Macaca fascicularis: one gene and its partner. The protein of the gene in region 1 binds, or shares a complex with, the protein of each later gene. Links are inferred from orthologs where the notes say so. Each region holds a gene or a part of one and is shown in the gene's direction. Other genes may lie near its edges.

Region 1 (3,817 bases):
CCTTATTGAAGTGAACAAGGTATGGCTGTGCTGACTTGAGAACTGACACGCCCCGGGGTGGAGGCGGATGAGAAGACTCTGGCCCAGGGGAGGGGTGTGTGGTGACAGACCAGGGGTTTCTGTCCAATATGATGGCAGTCTCAAATTCTGTGACGTGGCCTCCTGCGCAGGTGTATTATTTCTCGAAAGGCACTCTGAAGATTGCTAACAAACAGTTCACAGCTGTTAAAAATGACTACGAGATGACCTTCAATAACGAGACTTCCGTCATGCCCTGTGAAGACGACCGTCATTTACCTACGGTTCAGTTTGATTTCACGGGGATCGATGACCTCGAGAGCAAGTCGAAAGACTCACTCGTAGGTAAGCTCATGCATGGGACGGAGGAGCAGGGAGGACTCGCTTTCTTTGCACCGTACGGGGCGGTGTCAGGACTTCAGTGCTTGCCCTTCACCCTTTGCTGGCGTCAGAGTGGGAGCCTTGAACGCCTCCTGCTCACACGCGCCTGTGTTTTAGACATCATCGGGATCTGCAAGAGCTACGAAGATGCCACTAAAATCACAGTGAGGTCTAACAACAGAGAGGTTGCCAAGAGGAATATCTACCTGATGGACACATCTGGGAAGGTGGTGACTGCCACGCTGTGGGGGGAAGATGTAAGTGCTAGGATGGGGCGGTCAGCACACACAGGAGGAGCTCCTGGCGGGGAGGCGGTCTTGTCCTGTAGGATGGGGCGGTCAGCACACACAGGAGGAGCTCCTGGCGGGGAGGCGGTCTTGTCCTGTAGGATGGGGCGGTCAGCACACACAGGAGAAGCTCCTCGTGGGGGTGATTTTGTCCTATGAGTTGGGAGCTTTCACCGTGTAGATGGGAAGGGTTGTGCTGTCTGGCAAATACTTGAAATCCTTTATCTTCCGTGAGATTTGCTGTGATTCAAGCTTTACGTGGGGAAACGCTCTTTCCCCCGACTCGAGGAAAGCGGTGATAGTTTCGATGTGTCTCTGAGCAGATTCTCGTGTGTGAGGTCTGTCTTGTATAAGATTCCGTGTACACTGATTACATTCACTCTACTATTGACTGCCTTGTTTCCTATAAAAACCGTCTCTGTTCTTCCTGCCAGTGACACTTGTCTATGTCTGGTGTTTCTCTTACAGGCTGATAAATTTGATGGTTCTAGACAGCCCGTGTTGGCCATCAAAGGAGCCAGAGTCTCTGATTTCGGTGGACGGAGCCTCTCCGTGCTGTCTTCAAGCACTATCATTGTGAATCCTGACATCCCGGAGGCCTATAAGCTCCGTGGTTGGTAAGTTTTGTGGGGCTAAACAAAGGGTTACTTGAGGCTGGGCTTTGAGAAAAGCTGGTTCCGGTCAGTATGTGAGCTCTGCCGAGCAGAAGGCTTCGTTACTGAGTGGTGCAGCTCCTGTGTTTCTGGGAGGCGTTATGCCTTCCGAGAGGAGGGCTTTAAAGTCCTTAAACTGACAAACCTGTCCTCCCAGGACAAACCTAGAGTCGGAGGAGGCAATTAGAATGTGAGTGCTGCCTGCTGACCTCGATCCTGCCACAGGAGGGGACGGCCAGGCTTCAGCAGCTGTGCGGAGTGCTGAGGGCGCCTTGCTTTCCAGGGCTTCAGCTCTGGGCCTCGGTGGTGTGGGGGGAACCCACGCTTTCTTTCTCTGTCAAGTCTTTGGTGCCGATCACATCTTCTAGTGTGTATTCACTGGACTCTGATCAAGTGTGGTGAGAACAATGGGCTTTTTGTTAGGATTAGATTGCTATTCCCAAAGCACTCAAGGGATGAGGAGAGCCTGTTAAAATCTCCTCACTGTATCTAGCTTTTCAGGACATTCAAACTCTGTCTTAAAAGAGTGCTTCAAACCGAAACACGGGATGCAAAGATTGATGCGGGCAGGGAAAACACTTCGCCAGCCCGAGCTTCAGTAATTCCTGTAGCTGTAGTCACGGGGGATGTGCGTCGGTTTCCAGCTGTGTCTTAGGATTTAAGCAACTGAAGAATGAGCTTATTTTATATACTCCTCCTTTGTTTTGACTCATTTGAACCAATGGCACTGGTGTCTGACCAGTTTCCTGAGCCATCTTCTGGAATGTTCAGTCACTAAGCCATCCGCACGAGCACTGTGGGCCACACGTGTCTGCCGCACTGCAGGGTCCGTCCATAGTCTGACCAGAACTAGCCACAGATTTGGTTTGTTCTTGTTGCTTGATTTTCTTTCGCGCTCTGAAGCTCCACTCCAGGTTAATTGCATTCCCACATTAAGGTCTTCATATTTTACTTGCCAGTAACCATGATCCTAGTCAACATAAAAAGCACGGCTGTCCCCAGAATAAAATAACTTGGCATTGATCAAAGACAAGTTCAGTGCACACACGCTATCTGGACAAGGATTAGAGATGTTTAGATCTTGGCCATAACAATGTAGAGTTTTTACTGTAAGAAGGGCCACCTCTCTCCTTGCTCTTGCTAGTCACCACTCCTGACGAGTGGTCTTTGGTGGCAAATATGTCCTTGGAGCTTTCGAAACCGTAAACTTGTGTAGCTAGTAGTGGAGAAACAGATTTATGGGCCTTGCTGTGCCCCTGTGAGGGATTTAGCCGCTGACCTGACAGGAGAAGGCAGTTGTCTGCAGCTTAGGGCACCATCCATTCTGTTCGATGGTCTCTGTTTCGGGAGCCTGTTCTCTGTGCAGTTACCCACCGTCGGATGGTGTTTGGCATATGCCTTTCATCTCAGGCCGGCTCCTCTCTGCCGCAGCTGTGATCCTGAGCACTTTCTCCTTGGCCCCTTTTTCTTCATATCAGTTGATGTGTGATCAAGAAGTACAATCAATTTTCATAATCTAATACAAATTAATTTAACTTTAGTATTAGCAAAAGTAAAATTTCACTAAGAAAGTAAATCTACAAGAAAAAAGATAATGCCTTCTGATTAGTTGCTCTGGTTTATAAAATCTTTTGGACCAGGCATAGTGGCTCACGCCTGTAATCCCAGCACTTTGGGAGGCCAAGGTGGGCAATTGTTTGAGGCCAGGAGTTCAAGACCAGCCTGGCCAACATGGTGAAACCTTGTCTCTACAAAAAACACAAAAATCAGCCAGGCGTGGTGGCACGTGCCTGTAGTCCCAGCTAACTCGGGAGGCTGAGGCATGAGAAGCACTTGGCAGGAGGTGGAAGTTGCAGCGAGCCAAGTTGGTACCACTACCCTCCATCCTGGGTGACAAAGCAAGACTCTGTCTCAAAACAAAAAAAACCACTTTTGGCTTCTGTATCAGGCATAGGAGGCCTTTCATGGAAACCCTTTTGCTATCACGGTATATTGACTGTCCCTCTCCATACTGATACTTTTCGGGAAAGATCAGAATGCAGCTGCTGGCTGAGAATGAGCATTAGTCGCCTAAAGGACTAGCCCAGACGGCCACTTTATAGCTTACTGGTTGTTGACTTTCCCGGTTTCTGATTTTAGGCCTGGGGTGGTCCGGCCACTGCTGATAGGCAAGGCTAGTTTAAGAAAGGATTCTTCGGTACTTTGGCAGTGATTCTCTTCACCACTGGGGGGCATCAAAGCAACTGGGATTCAAAGAGAGGTCATTCCCTTTCTTCAGTAGACTTTGGGCCAGGAGCATTGCCTCACGCCCTGAAATCCCAGCACTTTGGGAGGCCAAGGGAGGAGGAATGCCTGAGTCCAGGAGTTTGAGCTCAGCCTGGTCAACATAACAAGACCCTATCTCTAAAAAAAAAAAAAAAAAAAAAATTTTAATGGGCCTGGGCATGGTAGTCCTGGTTACTTAGCGGGGCTAAGGTG
Region 2 (3,817 bases), on another chromosome or scaffold:
AATATAGTTTTATATATTAGATAGGCACCACACTGTCTAATACGGTTTTGTTGTAAGTCTTTATATCTAGGAAAAACAATTCCTCCAAATTTGTTCTTTGGAATTTCTTGGTTATTCTTGAGCTTTTGCACTTCTGTTTAAATTTTAGAGTCAGTTTGCCAGTTTATGCAAACAAATCCTGCTAGAATTTTTATTTGGATTGCCTCGACTCTACAGATCAACTTGGGGAGCGTTGACATTTTTATAATACTGAGTCTTCCAATCTATGCACATGGTAGGCCCATCTATTTACTTAGGGATTCTCTAATTTTTCTCTATAATGTTTTATAATTTACTGAATAGAAATCTTATCCATATGTTGTTAGATTTATTCTAGATATTTGTTTGATTTTGGTCCTTCCCTTTTCTCTGGGATTTGGCATGGCACAACCTCACTGTCTTAGAAGCTCTCTGGTTGTCTCAAACTTTCCAATACCTGCATCCAGCTTTTCCATTTGTTTCAGTTGCAGAATTGCTGCAGAATAATTGAGTTTGCTATTTCAGAATGTGGCATTCCTCCATGCTGACTGCAGTTTATTTTAATTTATATAGTGCTTTAATTTTGTTTATTTTGTTTACAGCTACATGTAGAAAATACTTATTTCTTTTATTAATGCTATATAAAAATTGAATATTTGCTGACCATAAAACTAATCACAGAAAACATGCTTTCATATTGTTTTATTACTTTTTGATGTAGGAGTTTATACAAGAAATAGAAACTTTCGGCTATATAAATCATCAAAAATAGGAAAGCGTGTGGCTTTGGAGGTTACTGAAGATAACACATTTTTTCCTATACCATCAAAGGATGTTTCTGACGAATATCAGTATTTTCTCTCTTCTTTGGTCAGCAATGTCAGGTATGTAGTAGCAGCATCAAACCATTTTGTATTCATGAATATTTATTTATTAAACAGTGAATGGCATTGTGTATTACTAAAATGTAAATCATCTAAATTCATTCTACCTTAAGAAAAAGTCAGTTCTTACCGCTCTTTTTTTTGAATACAGAGTCTTGCTCTGTCGCCCAGGCTGGAGTGCAGTGGCATGATCTCGGCTCACTGCAAACTCCGCCTCCCAGGTTCATGCCTCAGCCTCCGGAGTAGCTGAGACTACAGGTGCCCGCCACCACACCCAGCTAATTTTTGTATTTTTAGTAGAGATGGGGTTTAACCATGTTAGCCAGGCTTGTCTCGAACTTCTGACCTCAGGTGATCTGCCCACCTCGGCCTCCCAAAGTGCTGGGATTACAGGCGTGAGCCACTGCGCCCAGCCAGTTCTTACAGTTCTAAGTTAACCTTTCTCTTTTCTCCATTAGCTAAAAGATAATAGTAAAACATATATTTGAACACTTAATTTTCTCTGTATATCTTTTTAGGATTATATTTAGTATATTTTCCAATTTTTCTAAAATGATTATCACTTCTGTAAAGAAGAAAACAGTACTACTGGTATTGCATTTGGAAATATTTTACTATTAAATGCCTCATTTTCTTTTCATGTATGCACATACATATAATTTGTATAGCTCCTTTATTCAAAAAATATTCTTGAGATTATTATTTAGATGATTGTCATTTGTTTTTTCTACTTGATGTTATGAATATTTGTTAAAAATTTGCCAACAATTAATTGTAAATAAAACTTCTAATGCCTGTGTAAAATTTCCATTATATTGACACTCTGGAATTTATTGTGAGTTCTATTGTTGAAACTTTAGGTTCCCATGTTTCGTTCATTTTTTAAAAGTATTTAAGTTGGCTGGGCACAGTAGCACATGCCTGTCGTCCCAGCTACTCAGGAGTCTGAGGTAGAAGGATCACTTGAGCCCAGGAGTTCAAGGCTGCAGTGAGCTATGAATGCACCACTGCACTGCAGTCTGGGTGACAGGGTGAGACCCCATTGCTAAAAACTAAAATAAATAAATTAAAAAAAATAAAATCTGTGAAAGTCATCTTTCAACAGAAATACTGTAACAAGTCATCATTTGATGTTGATAAGTTATTGGAAACTGAACTTTAAACAAAGTGATGTATGATGAATCCAGTTGTTTTTTCTCATCCATGTTATAAGGCAGTGGTCGCCAGGCCACAGACCAGTGGTCTGTGGTTAGGAACTGGACCCTACAGCAGGAGGTGAGCAGCAGGCGAGCGAGCGAGCAGCCACCTTCCCACCTGAGCTCTGCCTCCTGCCAGATCCACAGTGGCATTAGATTCTTATAGGAGTGCAAACCCTGCTGTGAACTGTGCGTGGGAGGGATCTAGGCTGCACACTCCTTATGAGAATCTAATGCCTGATGGTCTGAGGTGAAACAGTTTCAGTCTGAAACCAGCCCATCTCGCCCCCGCCCCACCCGTGGAAAGATTGTCTTCCAGGAAACCGGTCCCTGGTGCCAGAAAGGTTGGGGACTGCCGTTATAAGGAAATGATGTTGAACAAAAGAACATTATTCAAAGACCTGCTAGATGTCATTTCTCTTAGAGTTGCAGTTTCCAAGAATCTATCCATGGCATTAAATGAGGACTTACTGTATTTGCCTTCATTCCCCATTTTTCTAGGCTGGCAACTTTTTCAGCCCAAAAAATGGTTAAGGTTCAGACTAAATTACCATCACCTTGCCGTAATTCTTTTCCTTTTGCCTTTCTAAATATAATTTTTTTTTTTTGAGACAATCTTGCTCTGTGGCCCAGGCTGGAGTGCAGTGGTGTGATCTCAGCTCACTGCAACCTCTGCCTCACAGGTTCAAGCGATTCTCCTGCCTCAGCCTCCCAAGTAGCTGGGACTACAGGTGTGCACCACCACACCCAGATAATTTTTGTATTTTTAGTAGAGACAGGGTTTCCCCATGTTGGGCAGGCTGGTCTCAAACTCCTGACCTCAAGTGATCTGCCCACCTTGGTCTCTCACAAGTGCTGGGATTACAGGTGTGAGCCACTATGCCCGGCCACTTAAATATAATTTTAAGGAAAAGTTCTCTGGAAATTAATTTTAGTAATTGTCTAAAATACAGTGCTGTAGGGATAGTTGTATCAGGTTATACAGTTAACAGCCGTTACCCAGGAGGATGGAAGATGGATTGTTTTTCTTCATATATATATTTGTACTCTTTGAGTTCTTTTAATAACATGTCTCAGAAGTAAGGTCTGAGTTTCCTACTTTTAAATGGAAATGATACTAACACCTACCTTATAGAGTTGTCGAGAGCATTTAAAAAGTTAAAATTGTGCATATAAAACATATACAGCTGTGCCCAGCTCATGGCATCTGCTCAGTGAATGTTGTTGGTAGCGGTAGTAGTATCTGAGATTCTGAAAATGGGAAGTGCCATAGCAGGAGTGTACAAATTGTATATTTCCTGCCACCCCCTGTGGGCACCAGAATAAGGTCACATTCTTTCTACCACTTATGGAGAAGTGCGAAAAGCAACATTGTTAGTTCTAGCTCCTACGAGAAAAGCAACTACAGCCGGAAGTGCAGGTAATCTCCCGATTACCCAATCCCGTTTCTTTCGCAGTTTAAATACGAATCTTACAGAGGTGGAGGGTTCTTCTACTGAATACAGTCACCTTGTCTTTTGTGTATTCCAAGTCAGTACCAGGTATTTTACTTCTTGAAATAAAGGCTAAATCCTTTATGATTATGAATGTACCTTTTCTTTCCGTTAATTTTAATCTGTTTTTCCCTTTGCTCTCACCCCTCCTTCTTCCTTCATTTCTTCCTATAAGTCACACCTCTACAATTGTTGTAACAAAAAATTCAAAGGCTCTTTATGTTTG

Evidence for each region.
Region 2: the proteins of RPA1 (region 1) and PRIMPOL are in contact, whole or in part, in a crystal structure (PDB 5N85), measured with the Homo sapiens proteins. The link is inferred for Macaca fascicularis from reciprocal best matches to the Homo sapiens genes RPA1 and PRIMPOL. Residues at the interface, in NP_002936.1 of Homo sapiens: Arg31, Pro32, Ile33, Thr34, Thr35, Arg41, Arg43, Leu53, Ser54, Ser55, Met57, Asn85, Leu87, Lys88, Arg91, Arg92, Val93, Tyr118, Asn119, Glu120; in NP_001332824.1 of Homo sapiens: Asp514, Asn515, Gly516, Ile517, Asp518, Asp519, Tyr521, Phe522, Leu523, Glu524, Ala525.

The regions. Positions count from the first base shown.
Region 1 is NC_088390.1:1,991,649-1,995,465, forward strand, and holds part of RPA1 (replication protein A 70 kDa DNA-binding subunit), read left to right. Parts: coding exon 1-19; intron 20-170; coding exon 171-363; intron 364-516; coding exon 517-656; intron 657-1,154; coding exon 1,155-1,303; intron 1,304-3,817. UniProt on the Homo sapiens protein: As part of the heterotrimeric replication protein A complex (RPA/RP-A), binds and stabilizes single-stranded DNA intermediates that form during DNA replication or upon DNA stress.
Region 2 is NC_088379.1:189,458,038-189,461,854, forward strand, and holds part of PRIMPOL (DNA-directed primase/polymerase protein), read left to right. Parts: intron 1-148; coding exon 149-274; intron 275-739; coding exon 740-902; intron 903-3,817. UniProt on the Homo sapiens protein: DNA primase and DNA polymerase required to tolerate replication-stalling lesions by bypassing them.